2 linked regions of the Oryctolagus cuniculus genome follow. The protein of the gene in region 2 interacts with the protein of the main gene of each other region in a biochemical or structural test. Links are inferred from orthologs where the notes say so. Each region holds a gene or a part of one and is shown on either strand. Other genes may lie near its edges.

What was found. The genes of interacting proteins can lie anywhere in the genome.
Region 1: of the proteins of SREBF1 (region 2) and SIRT1, one has a biochemical effect on the other in vitro, tested with the Homo sapiens proteins (2 studies listed by BioGRID, with this or other methods). The link is inferred for Oryctolagus cuniculus from reciprocal best matches to the Homo sapiens genes SREBF1 and SIRT1.

Annotation. Positions count from the first base shown.
Region 1 is NC_091446.1:59,858,212-59,861,711, reverse strand, and holds part of SIRT1 (NAD-dependent protein deacetylase sirtuin-1), read right to left. Parts: intron 2,917-3,500; coding exon 2,353-2,916; intron 1,675-2,352; coding exon 1,346-1,674; 3' UTR 1,330-1,345; exon of another isoform or gene 1-1,329. UniProt on the Homo sapiens protein: NAD-dependent protein deacetylase that links transcriptional regulation directly to intracellular energetics and participates in the coordination of several separated cellular functions such as cell cycle, response to DNA damage, metabolism, apoptosis and autophagy.
Region 2 is NC_091448.1:62,549,911-62,553,987, reverse strand, and holds the start of SREBF1 (sterol regulatory element-binding protein 1), read left to right. Parts: upstream 1-1,277; 5' UTR 1,278-1,395; coding exon 1,396-1,503; intron 1,504-4,077.

The sequences.
Region 1 (3,500 bases), on a different chromosome or scaffold from region 2:
TACTAAGCCAACACAGAAATGCTTTATACTTTATAATTGGCATAATGTTCAAAAAAGGTCTGGAAAATAAATGTGCTGTGCAATTTTATAATAAAGTATGAACTTTTTTGAAAGGCTAGAAGCTTCTGCAGCTTAGAAAGTTGATCTCTAAGTCTTAAGGCAGGCTAAGCTTTTAAATAAAGATACATTGTAAGAACTAGTTTCATTCATTAACTGTTCTGCTATTACAAGTTATTTCATGTTCACCTTCCATAATACTAGGCTAGCAGTTTGGTATTTATTACCCCAAATCCTCCCAAAGGAGACATGTACTTTCTGGCTGAGTTAAAATTAACATCTTATTACTTTGGAACTGTAATCAGAGGCCTGTTGCTCTCCTCATTAATGGAAAAACAGCAGTCCAAAATATTACACTCTGCCCTGTAGAAGTACCATAACTATAGATTCAGAAAAGCTTTGCATATTCACATCTTGCCAGTTTAATACTTACAGAACAGGATTGATGCAAGCTCTACCACAGTGATAGGTATTTAAACAATGGCAAATATTTCAAAACTAAGGGGGTCCAGGCAGGCACTATTGTTTCTAAAGCAACTGAAACATTTCCAAAGCATTTGTTTTTCAGGTTAGTTTTATGAGCCAATATAGACATTATTACATGTCCTCAGGAAGTACAAAAGCCATCTTCATTTGAACAGATACAATATTCCTGAAATGCTTAGCACCAAGTCCTTCTTTTACATAAAGATAAACCGAGTGCCTTCCTGCATATTGTTGACTTCATTCTACTCAAGTTGCATGTCATTTCAGATTTTTAAAAAGTTAGCTGCCACAAGTTTTGGAAAATGCCAGTGTTTAAAAATAGATAATTGTGCTAAAAAATCAAAAGTATAGCAGAACAGATTTTGAGGACTTCAAATCATTCAATGTAATAAAGAAAAGTGTGAAAATACCATTCTTTGGTCTAGATAAGCTGTTCCCTTTACATTAATTTAACATTCCAATGGCTTTTTGAATTTAAAATGTTGAAACTCACTAGGCAAAAAATTATATATACATATGGATGTATCATACAAACGAACCCTTGAAAGAAAGTGAAAAAGTCTTGACCAACATTTGGTTAAAGATACTTAGTACCTTTCTTTCAAAACAAAAAGTTAGTGTTGCGTGTACAGAAATAATAAAGTTAAAAAATTATCCATGAAAAACCACCTATTTTACCAGTCTATAAATATTACACCTTTCTGGTTTCCTTCTCTATTGAGTTCACAAGTAAACATTCACTTTGACATGCTAAAGTTCCTAATGCTGGTGGAACAATTCCTGTACCTGGACAGCTGCAACATTATGATTTGTTTGATGGATAGTTGACATCTGTTGCTTCCTGTTTCACAGATACAGCTTCATTAACTGCCTCTTGAAGACCTCCATCAGCCCCAAATCCAGTTCCTCCAGGTCTCTCTGGAACATCAACATCATCTTCCAAGCCATTGTAGAATTCTTCAATCTCACTTTCATCCTCCAGTGGTTCTTCTAAACTTGGACTCTGGCATGTGCCACTATCACTGTTACTTCCACAAGAACTAGAGGATAAGACATCATCTTCAGAGTCTGAATATACCTCAGCGCCATGGAAAATATAACGATTTGGTGGTAAAAACAGATACTGATTACCTGAAATATGGTAGTAAAAGGGAAATGTTAGTAATCAAACTTCTAAGACTATTTGGTAGCCTAGAATTAAGAGTAGGTTTCAGCTTTGCCTTTTTTACAAGTGTCACTACTACAGACTATTACTATTAATAGTGTTTTGTTAAAAACAAGCTGTAAACTTAGTAGTCCTGGGTGCAAATCTTAGTTTGCTACTTGTTTAAAATTAAGTATCCAGCCCCGCCTACATTAGCTACCCAATTCATTTTACTGAAGTACTTATTTCAAATTCATTATTTGCAGTAACTTTTATTTTGTGAATGTCTTCACACACACACACTGTAGTCTGGACACCGACAGAAAATTAGGCCCCACCACCAATCTGCTGCATCAAAATTTATTGTCTATAAGACCTATACATATTAAACTTCGTAAACCCATTGACAAAGAGTTCACCTATGATAACAAACGGAGGTTCCTTCTCAACCCCTCCATACAGGGCTTTAACTTCAAGTAAATGAGTTTTTCCCTATGATAAGATAATACAAGCAACCTTTTTCTAACTAAAATTGTTAACTTTTCATCCCTGAACACAGTTAGTTGCTACATAAAGATACCCTAATCAATATTAGCCTGCCAAGTTGCTAGCTTCTTGCAGTTGTCATAATCATCTTTACAAAATAGTTCAACAGCCTCTCTTACCATCGAGCCGCTTACTAATCTGTTCCTTTGCAATTCTGCTGGGCCAGCACTTTCTCACTGTGTCAGCAACTGAGGTTCGTTCATTTTTCTCCCCAGTATTGGAACCAACACTCTTCATATCCGGATTTTCCACCTGTTCAGTGACACTTTCAGTATTCCTAGGATTAGTCTGTACTTCCTGTGATTTTTCTTCCATACAAACTTTTGATTGAGAGACATCTGAATCGTCCACATTACTCTTAGTTGCTTGGTCTATAAGCTTAACAATCATTGAAGAATTTGGTGGTGAAGTTCTTTCTGGTGAACTTGAATCTTCTGAAATATGTAGAGGTGTTGGTGGCAACTCTGACAAATGAACCAACTCTTTTTGTGTTCGTGGAGGTTTTTCAGTAATTTCTGAAAGCTTTATAGGGTTGCAGCAAAGTTTGGCATATTCACCACCTAGCCTGTGACACAGTTCATTAATTATGACATCACAGTCTCCAAGAAGCTCTACATCAAAATGTAGATGAGGCAAAGGTTCCCTATTAATTAATATCTGAGGCACTTCGTGGGGTATGGAACCTAAAAATGGGGTGAAAATGAGAGAAAGGGGAGGGGAAGTAGGCTGGTAAAATCACAACAGATATGCCATGCAAAAATCTAATAAGGATCAGACTCCAACCAAAAAAGAAACTCTCCACTAATACTTAACAACTGTTACATATAATAGCCATTACATTTCATCAAACTAGCTTGTAAGCAGGTGAGCAGTACCTTTTAAAATCCCAGGTTCTGCTCCTGTCTCGTGGTTACCTCAATGTCTTTCTGTAGAATGAGGGTAATAACAGTACTTTTCCAGAAGGTTCTGGTGAGGATTAAATGATTTAATGTGTCATGTGCATAGTAGAGTTCTTGGCATGTAAGTGTTACCACTCTGATAAAAAGGGGGTGAAAAAGTCACAAATATAAGTGTGTGTTACATTTTAAAAAAGTTATCTTGGCCTATCACCAACACACACACAAAGCTTTTAAGAGAAAAGCTTTTAAGGCAGAGAAAGCCTCTGAATTAGCTTTGAAAGGGGGGAAAATATAATGTAAAGAGGCTTGTATATTACATTTTCAAGTTTCATCGAATTACAAATAGGCTTATTTTACTTTAATAGAAC
Region 2 (4,077 bases):
CCGGCCCCCGGCCCCCGGCCCCCGGCCCCCCGGCCATGAACTGTGCAGCACGGGGCGGGGGGGCTTCAACCAGGCTCAGGTCCCGTGGGCCTTTGCAGTGACCTTGCTTTAACCGGCCCCTGTTATCTGGAGCTATGCTGAACCCATTTCGGTAATGGCGAGGCGGATCCCCAAGACCATGGCCCCTGGGGATTCCGTACCTGCCTCTGTCGGTACCCGGTGCCCAGTTCAGCCGCCCGACTTGGAAGAAAAGTGTTCTTGGGGGCGTCGCCTGGCACCCCCTAATCCCATCCCTGTCCCCTGGGAAGAAGGGCTTGTTTGAATTTTCAGGGAAAGTCACCGGATGCCAGAGGCCTCCTGGGGGGCGGGGGGGGGGGTGGCGAGCCTGGGAGACCCCAGCCAGCATCTGGAGAGAGCAAGCCCTGGGTGGGGTCCCTGAGCAGGATGCCTGTGCAGGCGCTGTAGTTTAGAGACCCTGGTGTGGGTTATCTGTGTGCAGGTTGAGCCCCAGGTCCCGGGTGTCTGCAGCTGGCTTCTCCCTGCAGGGCACCCCCACCCCCTTGCAGGCTGCATCCTGCACGGGTGTGGACGTGAGCGGACAGACTATATAACTGGAGTCAGCCGGGGGCGGTCTTGGACTTGCCCTGACTGGCGGAGCCTGGGGAGAGGGTGGGGGTGGGGGTGGGCGGAAGGTCCAGACCCCTGCTGAGTCTCCTCGGCTGCCCTCCACCAAGGGGGCCTCTTTCTGAGTGATGTCGATCTCCCGCATTGAGACCCCTGGCCTGGCTCTGGGGTTTGCAGCTTCGGGCGGGTCACTGTTTAGTCTGGGGTCTTGCTTCCTACCCATAGCTCAGTCTGGGAGGAAACCAGAGATAAAGACCGGATGAGACACTATCTTCCCCGCCGCAGGAGCTAGGCAGACTCCACAGGCCGAGCCCGGGCCCCAGGTCCGTCTGCAGATGGGGGAAACCGAGGCAGAGTGACGGCTGTCACTTGGAGCCCCACACAGCCAGACAGAGGGAACTGAGCGGGTCGCGCCCCCGACCCCCGGTTTAGAGACCCCAGCGTTGGAACCCATCCTGGTGGGGTCTTCCACTCGGCCCCCTTGCTCGCTGCGGCTGGCCACAGGCTCTGTGCCCCTGCGGCCGGCGGAGACCCGGCGGGGGCTCCACGGTTCCGCCGGAGGGGCGTGGCGTGGGGGCGGAGCCGGCTACCCAGGGGGGCGGGACCTCCCGCCAGGCCCCGCCCCCGCCGCGCCCGCCCTGCGGAGTCCGAGTCGCTGCCCGGGGAAACCCAGTTTCCGAGGAACTTTGCGCCGGGCCGCCAGCGACTTGGCCGGCGCGGGACTCGAACGCGCGGAGCGGGGGCGGCGGCGGCGGCGGCGGGCCCGGCACCATGGACGAGCCGCCCTTCAGCGAGGCGGCCTTGGAGCAGGCGCTGGCCGAGCCGTGCGAGCTGGACGCGGCGCTGCTGACGGACATCGAAGGTGCGCCGGGGCGGTGGGTGCGGAGGGTGGGGGACTCGCAGGAGGCGCCCCGGCCTTTGTCTCCCCGGCCGGCGTGGGGGACACGCGGGGGCTTCCCGGGGCTGCGGGCCGCCTGGGCGGGGTCGCGCCGGGGGTCCCGGGGCAGCTCGGCGCTGGCGGGGCGGGGAGGACACGTGCGCCTGGACGCGTCCCGGGCCCTGCGCCGCGGGGGCCGGCCCCGTTCCCCAGCCCCGTTGGCGGCCGCGGCTGGAGCTTGGGACCCGGGCGTCGCCGAGGCCCCGCCCCCGCCGTGACGTCCGCGCGGGGTTACTCACGGTCATTTCCCTCCGGCCTGAGAGTTCAGCCGGGCGCAGGCGCCTCTGCGCGTGCGCACGGTGCGGCCTCTTTGCCAGCCGCCGCCGCCGCCGCCGGAGAGGGTCTGGGTTCTGCGCACGCGTCGTAAAGCCACCACCGAAGGCCAGGCCCCCACCATCCAAGCCCACCCCACTCCACCCCACCACCACGTCGTAGACGCGGAGGGTTCGCAGACAGCTCAGACTTGAGGGCCAGCCCCGGGGCCAGCGGGGCGAGGGTAGAGGCCCCGGGCAGTGCCCAGGCGGGGCGCCCTGTCCCTAAGGAGCAGCTCCGGGCTGCAGGTGCTTCCACGTGGCAGGCCCGGCGAACCCCAAGTCCCAGGAAGTTCCCCCATGCACCTGCCGTGGGAAGACGCGAAGGCTAAGGGCAAAGGAGCAACCTGCATGGACGCTGGCACCCTGGTGGCCGCTGCCCTGCGCAGCCTATGGCTGCGACTTACAGGGATCCCCGTGGGCTCGGAGGGTCAGAGTTGAAGCTGGACCCTTTGCCATCCTGCTGGAGCCCCCTCGCCCGCCCACCGAGTCTCAGTCCCCCCTTTCCTCCCCCCGTAAGTGCCCCCTTCACGAGGGAGCTGGGACAGTTGACTCAGATCTGTGCCTGGCCTTCTCCCTGACTCCCGGGGCTTGGGCAGCCACGTGGGGGGCGTCGTTGGGGGGTCAGACGGGGCTTGAGTGCTCATCGGCGACAGCGAGGGAGGCTGGAGCCCTGCAGGACCAGGCGGGGGCGGTGGGCAGTGGCTGAGGTCTGCCCACTATGGGGGAGGGTCTCTCTCTCTGTCTTTACTCACCCTTTCTGTTCTTTTTCCTGGTTATGCAACACATTGGGTTTCTTTTTTTTCCATTGTAGAAAAAGTAGGAAGTGTTGATTAACAAAAGAAAGAAAATGTTTCTTAAATCTACCCACCAGAAATAAGCCCTGAAGCTTAATCCACTTTTTTTTTTTTTTTTAAGATGGATTTATTTCTTTGAAAGGCAAAGAGTTAGAGTGAGTTAGAGTTAGAGTCAGAGAGAGAGTTAGAGTTAGAGAGGTCTTCCATCTGCTGGTTCTGACTACAACAGCCAAGTGGGAAAGTCCATCCAGGTCTCCCACGTGGGTGCAGGGGCCCAAGCACTTGGGCCATCTTCCGCTGCTTTCCCAGGCCACAGCAGGGAGCTGGATCAGAAGTGGAGCAGCCGGGACTCCAACCAAGTGCTTATCTCGGATGCTGGTGCCACAGGTGGTGGCTTAACCTACCCAGTTGTAATACTGACCCTTTCATCCACTTTTTCAAAAACAGGGACCAGAGAGTTGTGGCATAGCCCATAAAGCCACCGCCTACAATACTGGCATCCCATGGGGGTGCCGGTTTGAGTCCTGGCTGCTCCACTTCCAATCCAGGCCCCTGTTAATGCACCTGGGAAAGCAGTAGAAGATGGCCCAAGTCCTTGGGCCCCTGTACCCACATGGGAGACCCAGAAGAAGCTCCTGGCTTCAGGCTGACCCAGCCCCAACTGTTAAAAGGATGAAAGATTCTCTCTCTGTCTCTCTCTCTCTCTTTATAACTCTGCCTTTCCAATGAGAGAAATAAATCTTTAACAAAACACCCACAAGTGTATTAAGGTACCAACTTTACACACTGGGAAATAGATACATTCTAAGCGAGCTATGCAACAGTTTCCAGTAGCGCCCTATGCAAGTTTCCAGTATGTGTACCAAGTAGCGGGCCCATCATCAGCTGCCCACTTGGACTCCTTGTAACTGTATGGTTTCTGCCCTTTCCTCCCCCACCCCCCAGGCTGTCTGCATTTTTTTTTTTTTTGGTGAATTACAGTAGCATCCATCCGGTTCCCAACAATGAGGATCTGCTTTGTTCCATGTCGCAGCCAGCGGCCAGCCGCTTCCCCCGCACTTCCACCTGCTAAAGACACCACAGTGGTTCTGTTCTCCTACCCTGTGCCGCAGTGGGCCCCCTCCCACCCCCGAGGCCAGCCTGTGCTGGGATCCTCACTTTGGTTCCTAAGGTCTGGGCTCTGGGAGGGGAGATTTGCTGGGGAGAGGATTTCTACAGAAGCCTCTATGGGGGCTGCCACCAGACTTGGCCCTGGGCAGGTTGGACACGGTCTGGAAGAGCCAGTGGGAAAGCCAGTTCCCCTGAGAGAAGTGAGGGTGGAGAGGCGCCCCAGGGACGAGCTGGGCTGGCTGGGGAGGGGGCAGCGCAGGGACATGACATGCGTGTTCCCTCGTGGCTGGGAGCTTGG